Coturnix japonica: one gene and its partners. The protein of the gene in region 5 interacts with the protein of the main gene of each other region in a pairwise test. Links are inferred from orthologs where the notes say so. Each region holds a gene or a part of one and is shown on either strand. Other genes may lie near its edges. The genes, in order: KIFC3, HOMER3, NDEL1, LHX4 and USP2.

What was found.
Region 1: the proteins of USP2 (region 5) and KIFC3 interact in binary tests that used the Homo sapiens proteins (3 or more experiments, as listed by UniProt). The two-hybrid records come from large-scale screens. The link is inferred for Coturnix japonica from reciprocal best matches to the Homo sapiens genes USP2 and KIFC3.
Region 2: the proteins of USP2 (region 5) and HOMER3 interact in binary tests that used the Homo sapiens proteins (3 or more experiments, as listed by UniProt). The two-hybrid records come from large-scale screens. The link is inferred for Coturnix japonica from reciprocal best matches to the Homo sapiens genes USP2 and HOMER3.
Region 3: the proteins of USP2 (region 5) and NDEL1 interact in binary tests that used the Homo sapiens proteins (3 or more experiments, as listed by UniProt). The two-hybrid records come from large-scale screens. The link is inferred for Coturnix japonica from reciprocal best matches to the Homo sapiens genes USP2 and NDEL1.
Region 4: the proteins of USP2 (region 5) and LHX4 interact in binary tests that used the Homo sapiens proteins (3 or more experiments, as listed by UniProt). The two-hybrid records come from large-scale screens. The link is inferred for Coturnix japonica from reciprocal best matches to the Homo sapiens genes USP2 and LHX4.

What each region holds. Positions count from the first base shown.
Region 1 is NC_029526.1:1,981,516-1,985,712, reverse strand, and holds the start of KIFC3 (kinesin-like protein KIFC3), read left to right. Parts: upstream 1-1,388; 5' UTR 1,389-1,403; coding exon 1,404-1,538; intron 1,539-2,844; exon of another isoform or gene 2,845-2,925; intron 2,926-3,742; exon of another isoform or gene 3,743-3,807; intron 3,808-3,850; exon of another isoform or gene 3,851-4,044; intron 4,045-4,197. UniProt on the Homo sapiens protein: Minus-end microtubule-dependent motor protein. Involved in apically targeted transport. Required for zonula adherens maintenance.
Region 2 is NC_029543.1:2,751,232-2,754,741, forward strand, and holds part of HOMER3 (homer protein homolog 3), read left to right. Parts: intron 1-1,119; coding exon 1,120-1,276; intron 1,277-2,176; coding exon 2,177-2,308; intron 2,309-2,728; coding exon 2,729-2,836; intron 2,837-3,510. UniProt on the Homo sapiens protein: Postsynaptic density scaffolding protein. Binds and cross-links cytoplasmic regions of GRM1, GRM5, ITPR1, DNM3, RYR1, RYR2, SHANK1 and SHANK3.
Region 3 is NC_029533.1:1,496,337-1,500,537, reverse strand, and holds the start of NDEL1 (nuclear distribution protein nudE-like 1), read right to left. Parts: upstream 2,807-4,201; 5' UTR 2,779-2,806; coding exon 2,728-2,778; intron 1,421-2,727; coding exon 1,323-1,420; intron 1-1,322. UniProt on the Homo sapiens protein: Required for organization of the cellular microtubule array and microtubule anchoring at the centrosome. May regulate microtubule organization at least in part by targeting the microtubule severing protein KATNA1 to the centrosome.
Region 4 is NC_029523.1:5,732,731-5,737,033, forward strand, and holds the start of LHX4 (LIM/homeobox protein Lhx4), read left to right. Parts: upstream 1-1,498; 5' UTR 1,499-1,658; coding exon 1,659-1,734; intron 1,735-4,303. UniProt on the Homo sapiens protein: May play a critical role in the development of respiratory control mechanisms and in the normal growth and maturation of the lung. Binds preferentially to methylated DNA.
Region 5 is NC_029539.1:3,556,360-3,560,309, forward strand, and holds the start of USP2 (ubiquitin carboxyl-terminal hydrolase 2), read left to right. Parts: upstream 1-1,141; 5' UTR 1,142-1,355; intron 1,356-2,399; 5' UTR 2,400-2,474; intron 2,475-3,774; 5' UTR 3,775-3,815; coding exon 3,816-3,950. UniProt on the Homo sapiens protein: Hydrolase that deubiquitinates polyubiquitinated target proteins such as MDM2, MDM4 and CCND1. Isoform 1 and isoform 4 possess both ubiquitin-specific peptidase and isopeptidase activities.

The DNA of each region.
Region 1 (4,197 bases), on a different chromosome or scaffold from region 5:
CAAAAACAACCAGAAAAGTGATAGATGAAGTAGAGGGGCTGTTGTATAGGGACACATTGCCAGCCCCGGGCTGGGACCCACTAGAACCACATGGCACAGCACAACAGGGCATGACATGGCACAGGATGGCATAGGATGGTTTGGCATAGCATGGGATGGGGTGGCATGGCATTACATATGATGGCATGGCATGAAATGGAGTGATATAGGATGGCATAAGATGGCATGGAATAGAAGAGCATGACATAGGATGGCATAGCATGGGATGGAATAGCATAGGACAGAATGGCATGGAATGGCATAAGATGGTATGGCATAGGATGGGGTGATATGGCATGGTGTGGAATGGCATAGCATAAAATGGTATGGTATGGGATGACAAGATGGCATGGCATGGAGTGACATGACCTGGGGTGGAATAAGGTGGTATGGCATAGTGTGGCATGGGATAGCATGCTGTGGAATGGCATAGGGTGGCATAGCATAAGATGGCATGGCATGGAATGATATATGATGGCATGGCATAGGATGGCATGACATGGGATCGCACAGGATGGCGAGGCACAGCATGGCAGAATATAGCGTAGCATGGCATGGCACAACATGGGATGGCATAGGATGGCATGACATGGCACGGCTCTGTCCTAGCACAAGGTGGAAGAATGAGCAGCAGCCTGGCGATTGGCTCAGCCCAGATAAGAGGCTCCTTTGTACTGCAGAAATGCTGCTATCACGTGCAGATCTCTCTGCTGCCATGGTTACTGCCTGCTGCAGTGCATGCAGCACAGCGGTGTGACCATGTTGAGCTGGGACATGCAGCATTAGCATGGCTCTGGGTCCTGCTGCAGCACTGGGCAGTGTCCCATCGCTTTTTACACGAAGGCTCTTTTCATTAAAGTGTTTTCCTGTGCGCTAATTACGTTGGTTTTCCTTCTGTAAATGAGCCCGATATGATCTGTGTGTCTTGGCAAACAGCCTCGAGAACAGTAACCAAAGCCTTTTTGTTTGATCGCTGTTTGCTTTGCAAATCTCCCTGCTCTCACCGTTCCTGGCTGCCTTCAGACAGCCTGCACGTGCGGGTTGATGGGAGGGAAATGGGGCTCTGTGTCATTCCTGCTGCAGGAACAGGAAAGGTTTGGGTGTTCCTGAGACCCTGGGGTGGATGGCTGCACTCAGGGAGCAAACGTGCTGCCATCTGAGCACTGTTATCTGCAGAGGGAGAAAAGTCCACCTGTCCACCCATCTAAGAAATAGGTTGTGTCAGCAATTTGCAGGGCTGGGTTTTAATCTGCTCTTAAGGCACCGGCAGACAGGAGCAGAGGAGACGTCGCTTTCTCCTCCACTGCAGACAGAGTTGCTCTGCAGCAGCCGCCCTGGGGGCCCTTTGGGGAGCAGGCAGTGCCATGCATGCGCTGGGTGCTCTGGCTGCACTCTCAGTGCTGGGCTGGACTAAGGACAGCAAATGGAGGAGCGTGGCTCTGCAGAGCACCAGGGGACTGCCAGGAGCGAGGCGGTGGGCAGCAGGGCCCGGCCCCCAGGTGAGAGACATGGGGTGGGAGCGATGGCAGTGAGCTGCAGTGTCCATCCATCGCCATGCAGCTCCAGGTGCGGGTGTAGGGCTGTGCATTATAGATGAGAGCTGTGAATAATGCATGGCAGGGTAAGTTTGCAGGCCGAGCAGTTGGGAGGCGACAGAGCTGTGCCATTGCTCTCCCCTTCCAGAAGGGCACAGCAGCACTGCTCTTCCCACAGAGGCTCCTATGGCTGCGTGTCCCTGTGGGATTCAGCTCTGAGCAGCCAAAGCCACGCACTCAGTGTCCCTTAGTGGCACGGCTGCTGACATCAGCCTCCAAACTCAGTTCCCTAAATTATTCACAATTACTGCTTGAGCGTCTCCTCCAAAACCAAACGTGCTTCCGAGGGCACTAAAAATAGACAGCTTCGCCGAGGACGGGATGCCTTTTTTAAAGGAGACCGCTGCCATCCTTTCTGCCTGTATTTGCACCTCCTGGCTCAGCTCCTGGGGAGAAGGGCAGGGATGGGGCCAGGCCCTGCAGGGACCCTCCAGCTGCACAGCAGGAGAAAAAGACAGGGCTGCTGATGTTGGGTGGGTGAGTGGGGGCAGCTCCGGGTCACCTGAGTGCTGCCCTATCTCAGCATCGCTGCCTGCGGGTTGGGTTAATTCCCACTGTGAACTTGGAAACGAGTACAAATTTCTCAGGAGCACACTAAGACTTAATTAAAACTCGTTAAAGAGCTCAGATGGCAACGAGGGACTGTGGGGTTTCGTTAGCTGCTCCTGTGGGCTCAGCACGGGGATCCCCTCACTGGGGCTCTCAGGGAGGAGTGGAGTTACAGCACTGAGCTGCGTTATCATTAATTGCTCTGTGGGGATGATTCTCGCTCCATCTGATGATCCTCCCGGTGGGAATTTCCTACAGAGAGCACCCAGGTGTGCCCACGCCTGCATTCCTGCCATCAGTTTGCTGGAAGGGAATGGAGGGGGAGGTTAAACTTTGGCCAGGATATCGTATTTTCCCCCCATCTCCCCCGAGGTGTTACAGATGTAGGTTAAATATTTGCTCGGGGCAGAGCAGACTGCAAATGCAAAGGGCCCCCATCGGCACAATCAATGGGGCTTCCCTCCATCCACACTCGTGGGCAAATAGGGGGGAAATGGGAATGAAGCCGCCTGGCTGAGCCGATCCCTCATTGCATACACACGCACAGGAGGTGGCAGCGGGGCTGGCCGCCCTCCTGCTGCTCTCCCAGCGCTCATTGATCCCGGGCCGGCACTCGGATGTCTGCTCCCAGGCTGGCAGCGAGGAGGGATGCTTTGCAGACGGGGAAAGAGCTGCTCTAAAAGGAAGGGCAGAGCCCGCGGCGCCGCGTTGGAACGTGGAGAGAAAGCAAAGGCAGCACGCAGTGAGCTGGGGCTGGAGAGAGGGGGGTGGGGGGGCAGCCCTATTGCTCGCGCAATATGAGGGTGATAGAGGGGCTGCTTCCAATGCGAAAGAGCCCTGAGGGTCGGGATTTCCATGCTCAGCCCCGAGTACCATCCTTAGGATAAACCCCACCGGCCCGGTGGGCACCCAGATCTCCTGGTGCATTGGGGTCCTGCTCTGGGAGCCGTCCATCTCCCCTCACCCATTTAGTCTCTTCTCGATGCAATTGACGCAACGTACGCCCGCTGCATAATTGCAATGCCATCAAAAAACCTGAAGCATTCAAAGGACAGGAAATGACTTAACGCCCAGAGCTATTTGCATAAACATTATTTTGCCCTCACAGCTCGTAAATTAAGGCAGTGACAATACGACATTTAGAGTCGCTGCTGGAATGCTTACAGTCACCTCGTGTCCGCCCGTGTCATCGCTGAACCAGCGGCAGCCGCTGCACGGACACGGGGAGCCCTGCGTGAACACCTACAGCACCCACAGTGGGGCTGAGAGAGACTATATGGGGCTGAGAGGGGCTGTGGGGGCTGGATAAGGCTATGAGGGGCTTTAAGGGGCTGAGAGGGGCAGGTCGGGGCTGTGTGAGGCTATGTACAGCTGAGAGGGGCTATATGGGGCTCTGTAGGACTGAGAGAGGCTGTGTGGGACTACGAGCAGCTGTAAGGGGCTGAGTGGCAGAGTTGGGCTACGTGGGGCTGAGAGTGGCATTGCGGGGCCGTGCATCCCCCAGGCACCGCCGCCCGTCGGGGGTCCCGGGCGTTACCAGGGCAACGAACCGGGGCGGAGCAGCCGGTGCCGACGCCCGGGTGGGCGGGACCGGGGCGGGGAGCGGAGCCGCAGCGGGCGGCCGGTGAGCGGCACCGGGAGGGAACCGGGAGCGGGCGGTACCGGGAGCGGGCGGGGCCGGGCCGGGCCGGGCTTCCCTTTGTGTGCGGGACGGCGGTGGGAGGGACCGGGGTGCGGAGCGGGACCGGCGGACTTTGCGAGGTGCCGAGTCGCTCTCCCTGCGGCAGCCGAGGGGTCGCGGAGCCGGGGACCCCCCGTGCCATGCCGGCAGCCCGCCCGGGCCGGGAGCTGCCCCTGCAGCGTGAGTAGCGCCCAGCTCCGCGGAGGGGCGGGGGGAGGAACCGGCAAGCCCGCATTCTTCGCATTGCTGCGCGGCCGGGGAGCGGGAGCGAGCTGCAGAGCTGCAGGGGCGTGGGGTGCCCTGCGGGTTGCGCGTCCTGCTGCTCGCCCTGCT
Region 2 (3,510 bases), on a different chromosome or scaffold from region 5:
GGACTTGCATGTCACGGGATTGTGACTATGCTTTGTTTGCAGCTGTTCTACCCAGCCAAGAAGTTATGGGATATATCCAAGCACCCCAGGCTTCACTGAATTTAAGTGTGGAAATGGCCAGTGCCTTGGGTTTAAAACAAAATAAAATGGAGACAGAGTCAAATGCAAGCCCTGATGCACCTGGTCTGTTATGTCATGGAAACATTTCTTCCTGCCTCTTGAAATGCTCAGATTACATCCTGATGCCTGAGATTCAGTTCCTTAGTTCAGCTCAGATATTACTGGTTACAAAATCCAGGCAGTACTTGCTTTCATGCAGCAGCTGCGCATTGTGTGGTGAAGTGCTTCCTTTAATTCATTCTTAAGTGACTTGCTTTTAATCCTGCAGCGTGACCTCTCACTGCAGGATGTGCTTCCCAAGCGTGAGTCAAGGGAGGAAGAGCTGTGCTGAGGGGAAGGCACTTCTTGTGTTCACAGCCCAAACCCATCCTCCGTCTATTCATCCATCTGTCTTCCCAGAGCTCCAGCTCGGAGATATCTTGTGTAGTGCAAGCAGCATAGCAGCCAGAGAATCACAGAGCTGGTGAAGTCACCATGAACTGTATGCTTATGTGCTAAGGGATAGTGAAGGAAAACTTCAAAGCAGGCTAAACATAATGTAAACACTAATTATTAGCTTAATTTTGCCACACCAGCTGTGTTGTGTAGGACCATCTGGTAAGCAGAACACAAGATTGCGATGTCCTGTTTGTGTTTCTACCCGCAAGTTGAATGCTGATCCCTGGGTGAATGTGCATGTAAGGCTTGCTAATCTCGGGGTACTGTTGCTGGTGTGACTGTGGTCTTTGGGAATGTGTGAAGACAACTGAGGAGGACAAGGGAAGATCCAGAGGAAGGTAAAAACCACTGCCTATAGTTAAACACCCTTGGTGGCTTTGTTACTGTGTCTGTATGAGCTGCTGTGCTTAGCTCCTACTGTCACATATCTCTAGATTGGAGGCAAATAGCAGAAGTGCCACTGGTGATGCATTATGCAATGCAAGTACCAGAACGTCAGTCCACTTCCCCCATTGCTCAGCTTCCCCTCTGCTCTTACAGCTCTGTTCATCTCTGTTGCAGGGAGCAGCCAATCTTCAGCACCAGAGCCCATGTTTTCCAAATAGACCCTGCTACCAAAAGAAACTGGATCCCTGCCAGCAAACATGCTTTGACTGTCTCTTATTTTTACGATGCCACACGCAATGTGTACCGGATCATCAGTGTGGGAGGCACCAAGGTAGGGAGCATTTGCTGACAGCATCACAGTTTGAAAGCAAGTTTGTCTCCAACCAGTGTCTGTTCTGCAATTGATGCTTTCTCTGTCACACTGATTAGTTTGCAGCATGGGGCACTCTGTCGTCTTTACTGCAAGGAATGGAAGATAAAACACTGCCTCCACACTTGAATGTGATCAGTATTGGACACTAGACCCTCTGCTAATGAGAAATGTGCTTAGTGTGCTTTCTTTTCTCTCTCTCCTTGACTCTTTCCTCTTTGAGCATGCAAAAGAGATCTTTCTAAGAGCCCTGATCCTGTGCTAAAACTGACCCATGTAGACAGAATGAACAAACAGAGGTGAGGCAGTCTGTTCAGCCACTAACCCCAAGACAAGGCTGATTCTCCCTCAGCTGTTCTTGATATTTTTCTGACTTGTTTCTCAAGACCTCCAGCAGCAAAGATTCCACAGTCTTCTCAAGCGGTTTATTGTGCTACTGCCCCAACCAACAGTGTTTTGTAATAGCTTGTGCTAAGTGCAGTTTAAGCCTTTTACTTAATGTTTTTTTAATTCCTGCTTGCCATGAAAGTGGAGAACATCAGAAAGTTGTTCAGTCCCCAAAGACTTTCCGCATCTTCTCTTTTCTTCCAGCAATGGAGGCCCAATGAAGCTTGTAATGTTCAGGCTTTCTTATTTATTTATTTTTTCCTACAGTAGACAAGAAGATTCACACTTGTGTGTATTTCTTAGCTAGACTAGAAAGACTTTTGATCACCAGAACCCCAAATAGCTGTTTTATACATTAAAAGCAGAGCTTCTACCCTAGTAGAATTGATAACCTACTAATTGGGGTGATCCCACACAACGCCCTTGGGCAGCAGAATGGAGTTTTCTCTAATTCATTCTTGCCTCTCTCCACAGGCAATCATCAACAGCACTATCACTCCCAACATGACCTTCACAAAGACATCCCAGAAATTCGGACAGTGGGCGGATAGCCGAGCTAACACAGTATATGGATTGGGCTTTGCTTCAGAGCAACACCTCTCCCAGGTAATATGGCAGATGCTGGTAGAGACCTGATCCCTGTAAGACAAATATCCTTGAAACCCAAAAGGGAGAGTTCAGCTTCAGGTGGAAAAAAATAAAAACAAAAACATTAGGGTCCTGCTGGAACCTGATTCAGGATACAAAGGTACAAGGAAGAGGTTGAAAGTAATCTTTATAGAGTATTTGAATGTTACAAAATGAATTTGGATTTAGGGCTCCCTGATTATTTCTAGCTACTCTCACACTTCTGAGTGCTGGAATCATGGGCAGGTAGGGGTTATTCCCTCAATCCAAATATTAATTGAAGATGAAACAGAAACCACATAAAATGAAATAACAGAGGGGAGGAGTAACCCAGACATTAATTCTAATTTGTTCTACGTTTTGATTTAGCAGTACAGTGACTTTTCTGCTCCCTTATAGTTTGCAGAGAAGTTCCAGGAAGTGAAAGAGGCAGCACGTTTGGCAAGGGAGAAATCCCAGGATAAAACAGAGCTGACCAATCCTGCCCTGAATATCACATCTCACCAGGTAATGCTTGGGAACGGGCATGAGCAGTGGTTGCTAGGGGAAATGGTCACTGTGCTGATCTCCTCTAGCAACTTTTGCTTCTGTCTTTTTGGCCCAAATGCTTTTTTGACAGACACTGGGGTTGGGGGTTCTTTCTGATGACATCTGTGGCCCTGTAGTCACTCTACTGAAGCACATGAAGTGGATAAAATAATTACTGCTTAAGTGGAGCTCTTAGGAAGGTTTACTCTCCTCCCTCTTTGTCAGTTAAACATTTGTCTTGAGAAAATCATGCTGGAAGAGGTCTTAGGTTTTCTGTTAGTGGTGGTGGTGGTGGTGGGTTTTGGCTTTATTTTCTTTAGAGTTATTGGCAGTAATAGGCAAGGAACATGCAGGAATGCACATAGCCTGGCTGAAGAAGTTAGGAGGAAAGATACGTGGCATTTCGAGCTATTTTTGTTCCCTTGCTGGGGCTGCAGGGGAGTTCCTCTCCCAAGTGTCTCTGGGTGCCAGTCTCAGAAAGACAAAGTGATTTCTTATCATTGGTGTCTGGGGAGTCCCTGCTAGACTTCTTCCATTTCTGTCTTCTTTCCACTGTAGAAGGAGCTGTGCTATCCGTGCACTGTGTTCCACCTTGGAGAAATCTTCACTGAGGTCGAGATGCAGGCATGACAACCAGTCATTCAATTTAGTTT
Region 3 (4,201 bases), on a different chromosome or scaffold from region 5:
TAATTAGGTGAAAAAGCACCAAGAGTTTTAAAGTACTTAACCAGGGACCTCTACAGGGAAAGTAAAAACTGGGGGAAACAGAGAAACTGCATTGTTTACCTACAAATGGAAATTCAGCCCTTTATATCAAATAACTCTATTCAATACACATGCAAATACAACCTATATCAAGGCTATTTCCAGGATTCCTGCAAGTCTGACACTTGGTACCCCACTAGCCTTCACTCTAGCAGCCTTGAGAGAGTCACTAAGTAAAGCTTTTAACCTGCTTTAGGCAAAAACCAGCACAGAACAATAGTCACTGCATCTCAGCACTACCTGGAAATATAAGTTTGCTGGAAAGCATTAAGGTTTGGATCTCAGGGTTACTAAGTGCTTTGGTAGGAAGCCAGCATTTACCCACCTTATGCCACTGCAAGGTATTAAATTACTAGAAGCAGCAACTCCACATATTTCACTAATTACACTCTCATCTTTACCATACGTAATAGCTCAACTCTTTGCAACCAGCAGAGAAAACTGATGATATTTAGGAAGCTACATATTCATTGGCCTCAGAGAGACCTGACAGACTTTTCTCATACAGCTCAGGGATCTCAAATGCCCACCCTCTGTTCCCTACACCCAGAAAACAGACCCAAACAAAACAACAGCTTGCACACTGGGCTCCTTGGACTTGAGAGAGGTTTAGCTGGCTTTGCTTCTATTGCACACTAACATAGAGTGCAAGTAAAGCTCTCCAAAGGCAATGAGCAGGAAACCACCACTACTGACTCCCCTCCCCACAACAAACCACAAGCAGCACACAAGACAACAAGTTCTCTTGCCACTTTTTGTAACCAAAAAGCCTTCTGCTCCCCTTAAAAGATGGCAGAGGCAAACACAGGCAGAACTATGAGCTATAATGAATGTGCTTCAACATATTGCAGCCAGCTACCAAATAAGAAACTTCTCAGACCAAGTGCAAGAAGCCTGAGGGAACAGTAATGATACCAGGCAAACCCACAGGCAGTCTTCCTACTGCAAAACATCAAGCTAGTACTTAAGACAGCATTTTAATTATACAAACATACACATGATCATAGAAGAGCTCTTCTCCTGCTCTAACGTGCTCAGTCTTGAGTTCATGGCATAGTAACACTGAGAATGAAATACTCAGCCTGCACAAGGCTGGATCTAAAAGCTGCACCTAAAGCTGGAAATGGTGAGATTCATTTTAATACATCTAATGCTCATTTTGATTAAAGTCTAGCAGAGAAATAGATTAAGCTACATTCTCAGTCATCTAGAACCAAATCCACTCTGAAAATATCCAACAGTACCTTTGTTTGTACTTCAAGGAAAGCTCTTTCCAATAGGCAGTTTCCTCTTTTGGACTTGAGAAGGTTGGAATTTCCTCACTGTCCATGTTCAATATGACCTGTAGGATGCAGACATAAGAAAACGCTTAGTATGATGAGGCAGGCAGAGTAACCCCCCACTGCTGCTGTACTTCAAAGCTGTGGCCTGTCAGGAGCAAACAGACTTGAGACTGGCCTGCAGAATGTTAATGATTCCTAACAGCCACCTCTGAGCAAAGACCAGCTGCAACAAGTAACATCATGGTCTCCAACCTCTGGAAACGCTCATGCAGCAGCCTGAAAAAGAGACCACAAAATTGGGCTGTATCATTCACCGACCATGGAAACAGCAGTTAAAGCCACTGGCTCATTTAGGACCACCAGGGGTAATGATTTACAGCTATCACAGTTTCCACTTGGATTTGTAAAAGGTTTTTCCTACAGTGCATAGTACAAACACTGTTCACTATGACTGCACACGAGAGCACCCCACACACCAGACCTCAGATGTTACTGAAGATGACGATGAGGATGAAGCAGTGCTGGTGGTGGACCTGCACTCACTGCAGCACCCAGGGATACACTCAGCCAGGCCCAGCTCCCAGCCCCAGGCAGCTCCATTCCATTTCCAAGCTCCCTCTTACTCACAGGTAGCCATTTTTTTTCTTCCTCTCCAGAAAACACCATTTAAAATAGATCATAAATCTCCAGAAAAGAATAAGCTGAAACTCACTTCTGTTGCAGAGGCTTTAAACAATGTTTGTACCAAGCTCGTCACAGCAGATTAATCACTGCAGATGACCTAGAAGCCTTGACTTTCACATACTGACAGTCATCAATAGCCAATGCTGTCCCTCCAGGCCTGAAAGTGTCACACTGTCATGCTCTGCATCTCAGTGACCCACATTTGAGACACCCAGAAGTGGGACAATATGATGACAGCACTCCCATCAGAGGGCACAGCAGCCCATCCATTCTGGCTCACACCTAAAGCACAGCCAAACTGGCACACTGCTCTGCAGCTGCTACAACCCAGGGCATGAAACCAACCTTACCTGCAGGGTGCTCAGTACATCCAAAAACCCTCAGCTCTCTCTCTGTCTTTACTTAACTTACAGCTGTGCTGCAGTAGCACTCTGTGACGAACCAGGCCTTCATGCTGCCTGAGCCAACTGACCATGCCTCCTTTTCTACACGGCCCTGAGCTGAGAATAAAACAATAGGAGGCACCACCATTCCCCCCAGCACCACAGTCCTGCTGTATCTCTTCAGATGAAAATCTCTTGGGGTGTATGTGCTTCAGTTATTGCACCTGTTACCAAGGCAGTTTAATGACAACAGGAACAAATCAGCTGTGTTTACAGTGGATGCAGAGCCCATGAATCACCTCCTGAGCTGCCAGTGTCTCACAGGCTGATGCATTAAGGCAGGCAGACATCTGCTGTGGCTCAGGCACACGTCAAGCAGCTCCTGAACTGCTATGCAGATCTGTGGGTTGAGGAAGAGGTGAGCAGTTGATTACTGCTGCGTGCTGTCCATAACATCAGTCCCACACCAATCACATTGAAACCACCTCAGCAGAAGTCACAAGGCTCTTGGCTCTCAGCTGGCACTCTCAAGTCAGCCAGAATCACTTTTTCACCTCATTAAATGAAGCACCGCATTGAACAGGGTCAGCCCCACAGCTGTGTCTAAAGGTAAACAACCAAGGAACCACCCATCAAGCTGAATTCAGAGAAAAGTCAGTACGAGGAAGTGCCTTACATCATTTCCTAGAAGCAGCCACGATAACGTGTGTCTGGGTCCAAGACTCCTTCCTGTCTGCTTGCACAAGACACACCCTTGGAACCAACACCCTGCAAGCAGCAGCCAGCAGCCAGCAGTGCTGGGACCCCCATGTTCATCAGAGCCCCACTCTTCCTCCAAAGCCACCTCCCAGAGGGACAGAGCAGACCTGCCATAGGCAGTGCCCCAGCCTTGTCCATCTCATCATACAGCAACAGCTCACAGCTCCCCACGCTCCGTGTTTTCCATCACACCTAATGCTGCCACCACTGAGTTTTGATCCACCAACCTCACTACAGAAACACCTCCATCCGATGCTCATGCCAACATGCCAGCTAAGCACTCCTGCAGACAAGCTTTTACTGTCTGTCTTCTCTCCCATGCCTGGGGGACAAGAGAAAGATGAGAGCAGGCTCACATCATCCACAGCTGGTCAGAACCATAAATACTGCTTTGAGGGTTAGGAGACACAGACAGCTCCCAACCTGCACCTTTCCCTTCTGCCATCCGTTGCCCATAGTGGGGCAAAAAGCAGCTCCACAGCACTAAGAGAATCTAACACAACCCTGACCATGCGTGGGACAGTGGATGCCCACGGCATGCCAAGAGCTGGATACAAAGCGCCGTGCTGAGCGCACTGTTGGCTGCATTGGCTGCAGGCATTGTGCAGAGCTGAGCCCAGCACAAGCCCTTCCCATTCAGAAGCTCCTCTGTATACGTGGCATTTGCAGAATCGGGCCTTTGACAAACAACACTGGGGCTTTCAGGAGCAGACAAGACAATGCAGCAGCGTCTTCCAGGGAAAATGAGAGCAGGCTCATGTGGATGCCCACTCAGAATTCATTACAACACAGCTTAGCATTCACTCAGCACCCTGGGAAAACTCAGTTACACGGGCAGAACTCCAGATCCGAGCAGCTCTACAACAAGAGCTATGTTCAAAATGCGATGGCTCCTTTCAGGCGCCCATTACACAGTCAGTGGGACAGAGCGACTCTGCACCTAAATTGGAACAGTATTTCCACACTATGATTGCTCCTAAAAACTGGAGCTTGTAGGTTACAAACTTCACTAAG
Region 4 (4,303 bases), on a different chromosome or scaffold from region 5:
CCTAATAGAATTTGCCCTCAAGTGCAATTTAATTTTCCTGGGCCAGCCGCCCCCCCGGCTCGCTGCCGCCCGCCGCTTCCTTTCTCCCCTCTTTCCTTTCCCACCTCGATGCAGGCAGGAGCCTCTCCGGCCATAAAATAGCGGGGCTGGGGATTGTGGTGGGGGGGACACCCTTCATGTCTGCTAAACCCCTATTAAAATTAACAGCGCCCTGCTCGGCACAACCCGCGTTCTCCAGCCGCCGGTAAGTGTCCGCTCTGTGATTTCTCCATGCAATGGGGGTGGGATGCGGGGGGTCCGGATACCTCCTTCCCACTTGGGGGGGGGGGTGAAAGGGATGGGATTATCCAACCTTGACGCCTTCTCAGGGCACCGGGGGGAATGAGCCCCAAAGCGATTCGAAGGGGAATAGATGGGCGAGGGGAGGGAGGTGCGTGAGGGAACGGAGCGGGGCGAGGATAGAGGTGATGCGTGGAAGGTGCTGCGGGGGTCATGGGGCACCAGTGCGATGCGGGGATGGGTGATGCAGATGGCGGCAGGGAGGGGGTCCGTACCGATATGCGGAATGAGAACGGAACCCCCTCGGGAGAAGGGGACGCGTTGGGGCAGAAGGATCCATCGGAGCCCTCCGGAGCGGGGGGGGCAGAGCGCCGTGACTCCGGCAGCGGCGTTTGGAGAACGGCCTGGGAAAGGGATGGGGGACAGGGATGGGGTAAGGGATGGAACTAAGGGATGGGGGTAAGGGATGGGGCTAAGGGATGGGGTAAGGGATGGGGTAAGGGATGGGGGTAAGGGATGGGGGTAAGGGATGTGGTAAGGGATGGGTACAGGGATGGGTACAGGGATGAATACAGGGATGGGTACAGGGATGGGTACAGGGATGGGTACAGGGATGAATACAGGGATGAATACAGGGATGGGTACAGGGATGGGTACAGGGATGGGTACAGGGATGCCCTCCTGCCCGCAGGTCCCATTGCTCCGTGCGGCTCCTCCCGCCCCGCAGAGCAGCCCCTGGCCGGGCAGATCCGCTGCCGGGCTGTGTCAGTGCCCGGCCCCGCTCCCCGCGGGAGATCTGGGGGGTTTCGTCGTTCCCGCGCCCCGCTCACCGGCACCGACCGGCCCCAGCCCTTCGGCATCGCCCCGCTCTGCGTTGCCCCTCTGCTCTCGGCCGCTCACGGCCCGGCTGCCCGGCGCCATGTCCCGACAGCCCCATGTCGCGATATCTCCGTCCACGCTCCGCAGGTTCCGGACTCCCGGGGCGTGGCGCGCTCAGGCCCCGCCCCTTTCATTCAAGCCACGCCCACAACCACTACGCCCCGCCCCTTTCTGCCCTCAGGCCCCGCCCCCTAAGGCGTGCGGCGTGCGGTGATTGGCGGAGAGCGGCAGGCCCCGCCCCCGGCCCCCTGCGGGCGGTGACGTCAGGCGCGCTCCCCGCAGGGCAATGAATGGGAGGCGGGCGGAGCTGCCGGCACAGCTGCGGCACCGCAACGGGCCGCAACCGGCACCGACACCGACACCGACACCGACACCGGCACCGGCACCGGGACGGCTCGGCTCCAACTGGTGCTGCTCGTGTCCGGGGCCCGGCCCGCTGCCCTCTCCCTGCCCTCTTCTCTCCCCTCTTCTCTCCCCTCCGTCGCCCCCGGGCCAATAAAATGATGCAAAGCTCAGCGCTCGCTGCCGAAGGGGCTGTCAAGGGGCTGCCGGAGATCCTCGGGGTGCCGGTACAACGTAAGGACGCGTTTCTCTTCCCCGTTCCCTCCCCGTTGTCCCCCGGTCGCGTTTCCCACCCTTTCGTTTCCCCCCGTGTTCTGCTCGGTGAAGCCGGGGGGGCCCGTCGGGGCGGTCGGGGCGGCTGTGCGTGTGCACGGGGCTGCAGCGGTGCCCCCGCTGTCGCTGTATGTCGCGACACGAGGCCCCGAGCCTCCTCCGGTCTGTCGGTGCGAACATCCATCGGTACGTGCTGCAGAGCTACAGGTGGCGAGGAGCCGGGTGCCCCCCCCGGGAGGGCCGTGAGCGTCCGGCTGTATGCGGGGACACCGTGCGGGTGTAATGGGAGGGGGGGAGGGTGCGAGCAGTGCCGGTCTCGGTTCGGTTCTATTTGTTATCGTTGTTAGCGTTTATGATTCGCATTCGTGTTTATTATCGCCGTTATCATCGATTATTGCTTTCACGGTTCCCCCTCCCCCCACACCCCGTTCGTAAACGGTTCCGGAGAAGCGGAGCGTCCCGCTGTATCGGGGGGGTCCGGTACTGGGAGGGGGCAGTGCCCCATCCGCACCCCCAGCCCGATGTGGGGCTGTCTCTCTGCTTCTGCCCGCAGCAGGGAGCAGCGAACGAGATGTTCTTCTCGTGTATTTCAGCGCAACAAATCGGTGGTGAAATAGCGGTGTTTGTGCTGCCGAAGTTCCCGTGGTGCTGCTGGATGGGGGGGTGGAGGGGCTGCATGGGGCCGCCTCTCAGTGCGGGCTGCGGGGCTCCGTGGGGACTGGGGGGGTCAGCGGAGGCACCGTGTCGGAACCCCCCCATGCTATAGGGAAACCGTGAGGTGAGAAATAGGGGCATCAGTGCGGGGCCTCTGGCCGGGATCCGGAGACAGGGAGAGGGGCTGCTATCCCCTCCTCCCCCCCACCTCCCCCCAGGTCTGCTCTATCATTATAATAATATTTTATTCTTTTTATTTGGTTTTATTTTACCCCCCCCCCCCCCATCCCCATCCCCATCACGGCTCACAGCGATGAGCTCCCTTTGCCGTTCTCGTTTCCCATCGCTGTGAGATCGCATTTCTCGGCCCCCGCACCCGCACAGCTCCTTTCTGCCTTAACCCCGACATTCTGCATCGACTTCAGCTCAGCGTTGGGGAGCCGAGAGCTGCGGGGTGGGCCTATAAACCCCCCCACGGCCAGCGCTAATTGACACCCTCATTAACAGCGCTATTTCTTTAGGGGCAGGTGGGCAAACGTGCGGCAAAGCTTTTGCCGTACCCAAAGTAATGCCTAAAGCACCTTCCCGAAATAATAATTAATAATAATAACAATAATAAACGAATGCATCGATAGGGCGATCATGAGAAATAATAATAAGAAGAAGAAATAAGAGAGAAATCGATCTCTGTAGATGGAATAAAACCAACGGGCTGTGCTGCCAACTCGCAGTGCAGTGGGGGGGAGTGGGGCCGGATTGGCCCCTGTGTGTTTATATATATGTATGTATTTATATGTATATGTGTGTGAATATATATGTGTGTGTATATATGTGTGTGTATGCATGCATATATCCACATGCATACACACATGTGTATATACATGTGCATCTGTACGTGTGTTGATCTGTGTACACACAGATGCGTGTGTATATTTATCAGATCAAATGAAATGATCCGAACTACTGGAAAACAAACCTAAACACGCCTTTATTTCAATAGCTGTTTGTCCACGTTCCGATCTCTTTCCGGAGCTGTTTGGGGCAGATATGGCGATACACACCGCGGCTGGTTCCGTTCCCGACGCTCGGAGGTGCCGCTGCCTCCAGCGCTGCGCGTCCCCGCATGGCTGCGCCGGACGCGCTCCGTTCCCCCCCCCTCTCTTTCATCCGTCCGTGGGGATAACGCAGGGGGTTCTGTCTCCCCTCGTTGCCGTGGGGGGGTCCCGTGGGATCGGCGGCGTCTCCGTTCGGTGCCGTTTGTTGATGCCCCCCCCGGGGCTGGGGGTCACCCCGCTGCCCCACCGCCGGGCCCCGCCGCCTGCACCGCCCCGCTGCGATCGGCTGCTGCGCCCTTTGCCTTCACCCCTTTTTCTTTCCCCTTTTTCCTTTCCTCTCTCCTGCCATTATCGATCTTTTTTCCCTTATCGTTGCGTTTCTTTTGCCTTTTTCCTCCTCCCCCCCCTCCCCCCGTCCTTTTTTTTTTTTCCCCCCACTTTTCCTCCCATCCCTTCTTTTCATTTCCTTTTTTCGTTCTCTTTTGCTTTCTTTCCCCCTTTTATTTCTCTTTCCTTTCCCCTTCTTCTCCCATGTTAATTTCCTCCCTTCCCTTTAGTTTCTTCCTCTCCGTCCATTCATTTCCCTTTTCCTTTTCCGTTTTTCTTTTCCTTCTTTCATTTTTTTTGCCTTTTCCCCTTTAATTTTTTTACATTTCTTTTCTTTCTTTACCCTTTTATTTCCCCCTTCTCTCTGCTTCCCTTTCCTTCCCCCGTTTCTTATTTCCTTCCCTTTATTTCGTTTATTTCCTTTTCCTCCCTTCTTCCCTTTCCCTTTTTATTTTCCTTTCTGCCTTTTTCCTTCTTTTCTTTTCTCTTATTCT
Region 5 (3,950 bases):
CGTCTCCCAAGTCTCATTCTTTTTGTGAACATTTGTAGTTGTTTCCACAGCTTGTCGTCAAGGAGAGAAAAAAAAAAGAAAAAAAAAGGAGAAAAAAAAGGTAAAAAAAAAGAAAAAAAGAAAAAAAAATAAAAGAAAAAGAAAGAAAAGCCAACCTTACGAAAAGCAACAATAACGATAACAACAATACACCTGTCCTCCGGGAGTTTTCCTCTGTCTGCACAATAAAACCTTAGGTTGTGTGTTGGAGATGTGTGTGCAGTGAGGGGCTATAGGGGGGGAGGGCACGGTTTGCCCTGCTGGGGGGTGACCCCCTTCTGCACCCATCTACGCTTCCATTCTATACCAGAGAACCCTTCTCGGCTCATTGTGAGCTCAGGGTTGGGGCCACCTGCGCTATGGGGAGAGGGGCAGTGCAGGGTAGGTACCACCAGGTATCCGTGGGCATATGGGCACAGGCTCCCTTGGCACCCCATCTCCATCCTGCCCTGCCTGCAGCGTGGAGGCAGCCCAGTGGGCAGGGAGTGAGTGGGAGTGGGGTTGGACACAGGGCATATCCCCCTATGGGTGACCCCATAGAAGCCTCTGGGAGTCACACCCAAGCACAGACGTATCGGCCCTCCCTGTTTTGGGGCTGGAGCTGGGCAGCGGGGATGAAGATGCCACCATAATTGCATCCCGCACCTAATTATCGTCAGCAGGTGCTGGCTGAGTCACAGGCACCGCGGTGCCGGCTCACGGGGTGGGTCAGGCGTCAGGGAGAGGCACCCAGGATTGTGCCCTGATGTCCCCCTGTGTCACCATGGGGTTACAGGGGTGGGTGCTCCTGGCCCCCTCCCACAGGGCTCTTCTCCATGTAACAAAACCCAAAGCAGCTCCCCGTTCCCCTCTTACTCTTTATCAATCCATTCCCTCCTGGACCCCCATCTCCTTCCCTCTCCCCTCACTCACCCCCACAACCCCCCTTCCCCTCCCCATCCTTCCCATCTTACCGTGGGCCTTACCTTGGGCTCACGTCCCCTTTAAGCCTCCCTGAAGCTGGAATGCGAGAGGAGCATTTCGGCGCCCCGCGAGGTCAGATAAAGACTCTATATTTATCTAGCTGGTAACCTGAGCCCTGAATTTCTGCTGTGTGTTTTTTACGCTGCCCCACAACCCTCCGGCACGGCCCCTCCGGACCATTCCCAACTGAACCTCGGGGTGATCAGACCCTGCCACAACTCCCCCAACACCCCCCTGTTCTCCTCCAGCCCCTGGAAGAACCCCGAGGAGGGAGGACTGAAACAAGGCAGCCTCATGAGTCTCCATTCACCCCACACCGTGCCAACCTCGCACCCCTGAGCGCGCAGCCACTGGTGAGTGCAGGGAGCACAGGGGGATAGCAGCAATGGGGAGGGGGCTGCGGGATGTCAGTGGGACCCTTAACTCTGCCCTCTTTTCCCTTTGTTTGGGGTGAAGCCATGGGAAAGATGTTTTTCTATCTCCATAGAGGGTGGGACCATGCCTGGCACTTGGCCCCTGGGTGAGCACAGCCATGTCCCATCCACTTCCCCCCCCAGGCTCCCTATTCTTTATCCACCTGCAGACCTCAAAGCAGTCACCTTGGGCCCTCCATCAGGGTTCCACTGTGGGTTTGGGATTTTGCTGCCTTGGGGTGGCCCTGGAGCACTGAGCAGCCAGGTGGGGATGTGTCAGCGCAGTGACGCCAGGCCTGCAACACACATGTGCTGAGCTGGGTGCATTCTCAACCTGTGACTGCATGGGGAAAGCTCCCCCACCTTGCTTCCCTCCCAGCACCCTCAGCCCTAAAGCAGCCTGGAATGGGCAGGGTGTTCCACATGGGATCCCCCCCATTGCCTCCCCTATGGCATCATGCTGGGAGCTCTGCATTAACCTCCAGGCTGGGACATTGTGTCTCAGGGCACAGGGACAGGGCTCACAGCCTGCGTAAGTGAGAAGCAGCTGAGCCGTAACACCTCGGTTGGAGCCAGGGCTGTGTAAGCTGAGCTCACCCTGGGGCTCTGCAGCCACCAAGGGGGAAAGCTGCCACCGGGGCCACCAGTGTGAATGTCAGCTCACTCAATGCCTAGGAGACCAATGGGGATTCTATTGGGAATGCTGGGAATGAGCTCCCCAACATGAGCATCCCTGCAGTGCTCATGGCCACATGGCCACAGACCGGACATTCCCGTGCCTCAGTTTCCCCAGGGAGGATGATGAGGTTGCAGGAGTCCTGACTCAGCCATGCCAGCCTCAGGGTTTTGCTTTGCATCAGAAAGGCTCAGCATTATTATTGGGCAGGGAGGGGCCAGGCAGGTCAGGAAGCGATGGGAGGAACCGGGGTTTTTCTCACACCCCCTCAGCTCCTCGGGCTCATGGCACACTCCGCTCTCCCACAGCCCTGGGGTCCACAGCGATATGACATGGGGACAGCACGGTGCAGATCATCCTAGCAGACACAGCAGCCCTACATGGTAAGACCTCTCCTCCCATGATACCAGTGGGTTCACCGCTATGTCCAGGGCAAGATCCCCCTCCTGAGCCCCATATCCCTGCACATCAGCTCTCCACACCCCCAGGGCAGGCAGTATCCTCTAGGGATTAATCCCATGGACTGAAAGCCCCCGTTGGAGCCACAGGGCTCCAGCACCCTCATCCCAATGTCCATGGGAATGCTGGTCCTTGGCTGGGTCCCACATCCCCCAGCAAAACCCTACAGTATGCACTGGATCCTGGCTGGTAGAGCAGCTCCAGGGCCCTCCCAGTGCTGGCACGGATGGGCCAGGGAGAGCCGGGTGTTGGTGGCTTGTTTGCCTGCAAGGGGATTATTCACCCCTCGGCCTCAGTTCCCAAACAGGTCTGTGCGCTCTGGCTTGCTCTCGCTTGTAAATAGTTTCCTCTTGCTGCTCCCTCAGCAATAGCAGCCAGGACACAGCCCAGGGCCGAGGAGGGAGGATCCCATGGTGCTTGCACTCGGTGACCATCCCCATGCCCAGCTGTGCCCTGCATGGAAGGGATAAAGCCAGGCTCCATCCCATCACCTCCACGCTGCCTTGGAGTGAGGCCAGTGCCCGCCCCAGCAGGGCTGGGAAAAACCTCTGAGCTGGGTCATCTCCTGGGTGACAGGGGACTCTTAGAGTCACACGAACCACTGTCCGGCCAGGGAAGGGATGTGAGGCAGCACAGCCCTGGGACAGGTAGGAGACCTGCATCAGCACAGGAGAGAGCTGTCCTCCCTGTTTGTGGGAGGTTTCTTGCTGCCCTGTCTTTGACTCTGTGCTGGTTCCTTCTTTGCTCCGGGTGCCTCCTTCCCCCTCCTGTCCTGTGCATGGGTCACTGTGTGGGAGAAGCCACCACCCCCCATAGGACCCAGTGCTTGGCTGTCACACTGCCCTGCAGGCTGGCTGTGCCTGGTGACGGGGACACAGCGGTCACCTGCACTGCTGAATTATTGATGGCAGGCAGGCAGGGCACTGGCATGGCAGGCAGACAGGCTGTATGCTGCAATACGGTGTCCCTTGTTTGTCCCCACTGTCCCCAATGCCCCCTGGTGGGTGGTGGCTGCAGCTTGGCCCCAGGCACCGTGCAGGGAGCAGGGATGGATGATGATGCAGAGGCATCGGCTGACCATGAGTGCCCATTGCCATGCCCAGTGAAGCCCTAATTCAGTGGTATCAGGTCCCTGCACAGGGTCTCCAGGTGGGGGTCCTGGGGTGGGCACTGTCTGGTGTCAGTCATAGCCCATGCAGCTGAGCCCAGGCCCTTCTCTTGCAGCCCATGCCTCCTTCCAAGACCTCTGAGCCCCAGCCTCCAGCATGTCCCAGCTCTCCTCCACACTGAAACGGTACGTTGACTCGTCCCGCTATGCTGAGAACACCTACAGCAAGATGCCCAGTGGCTACAGCTCCTACACCTCCTACGGCTCCACTTATGCCTATGCAGACAGAGAC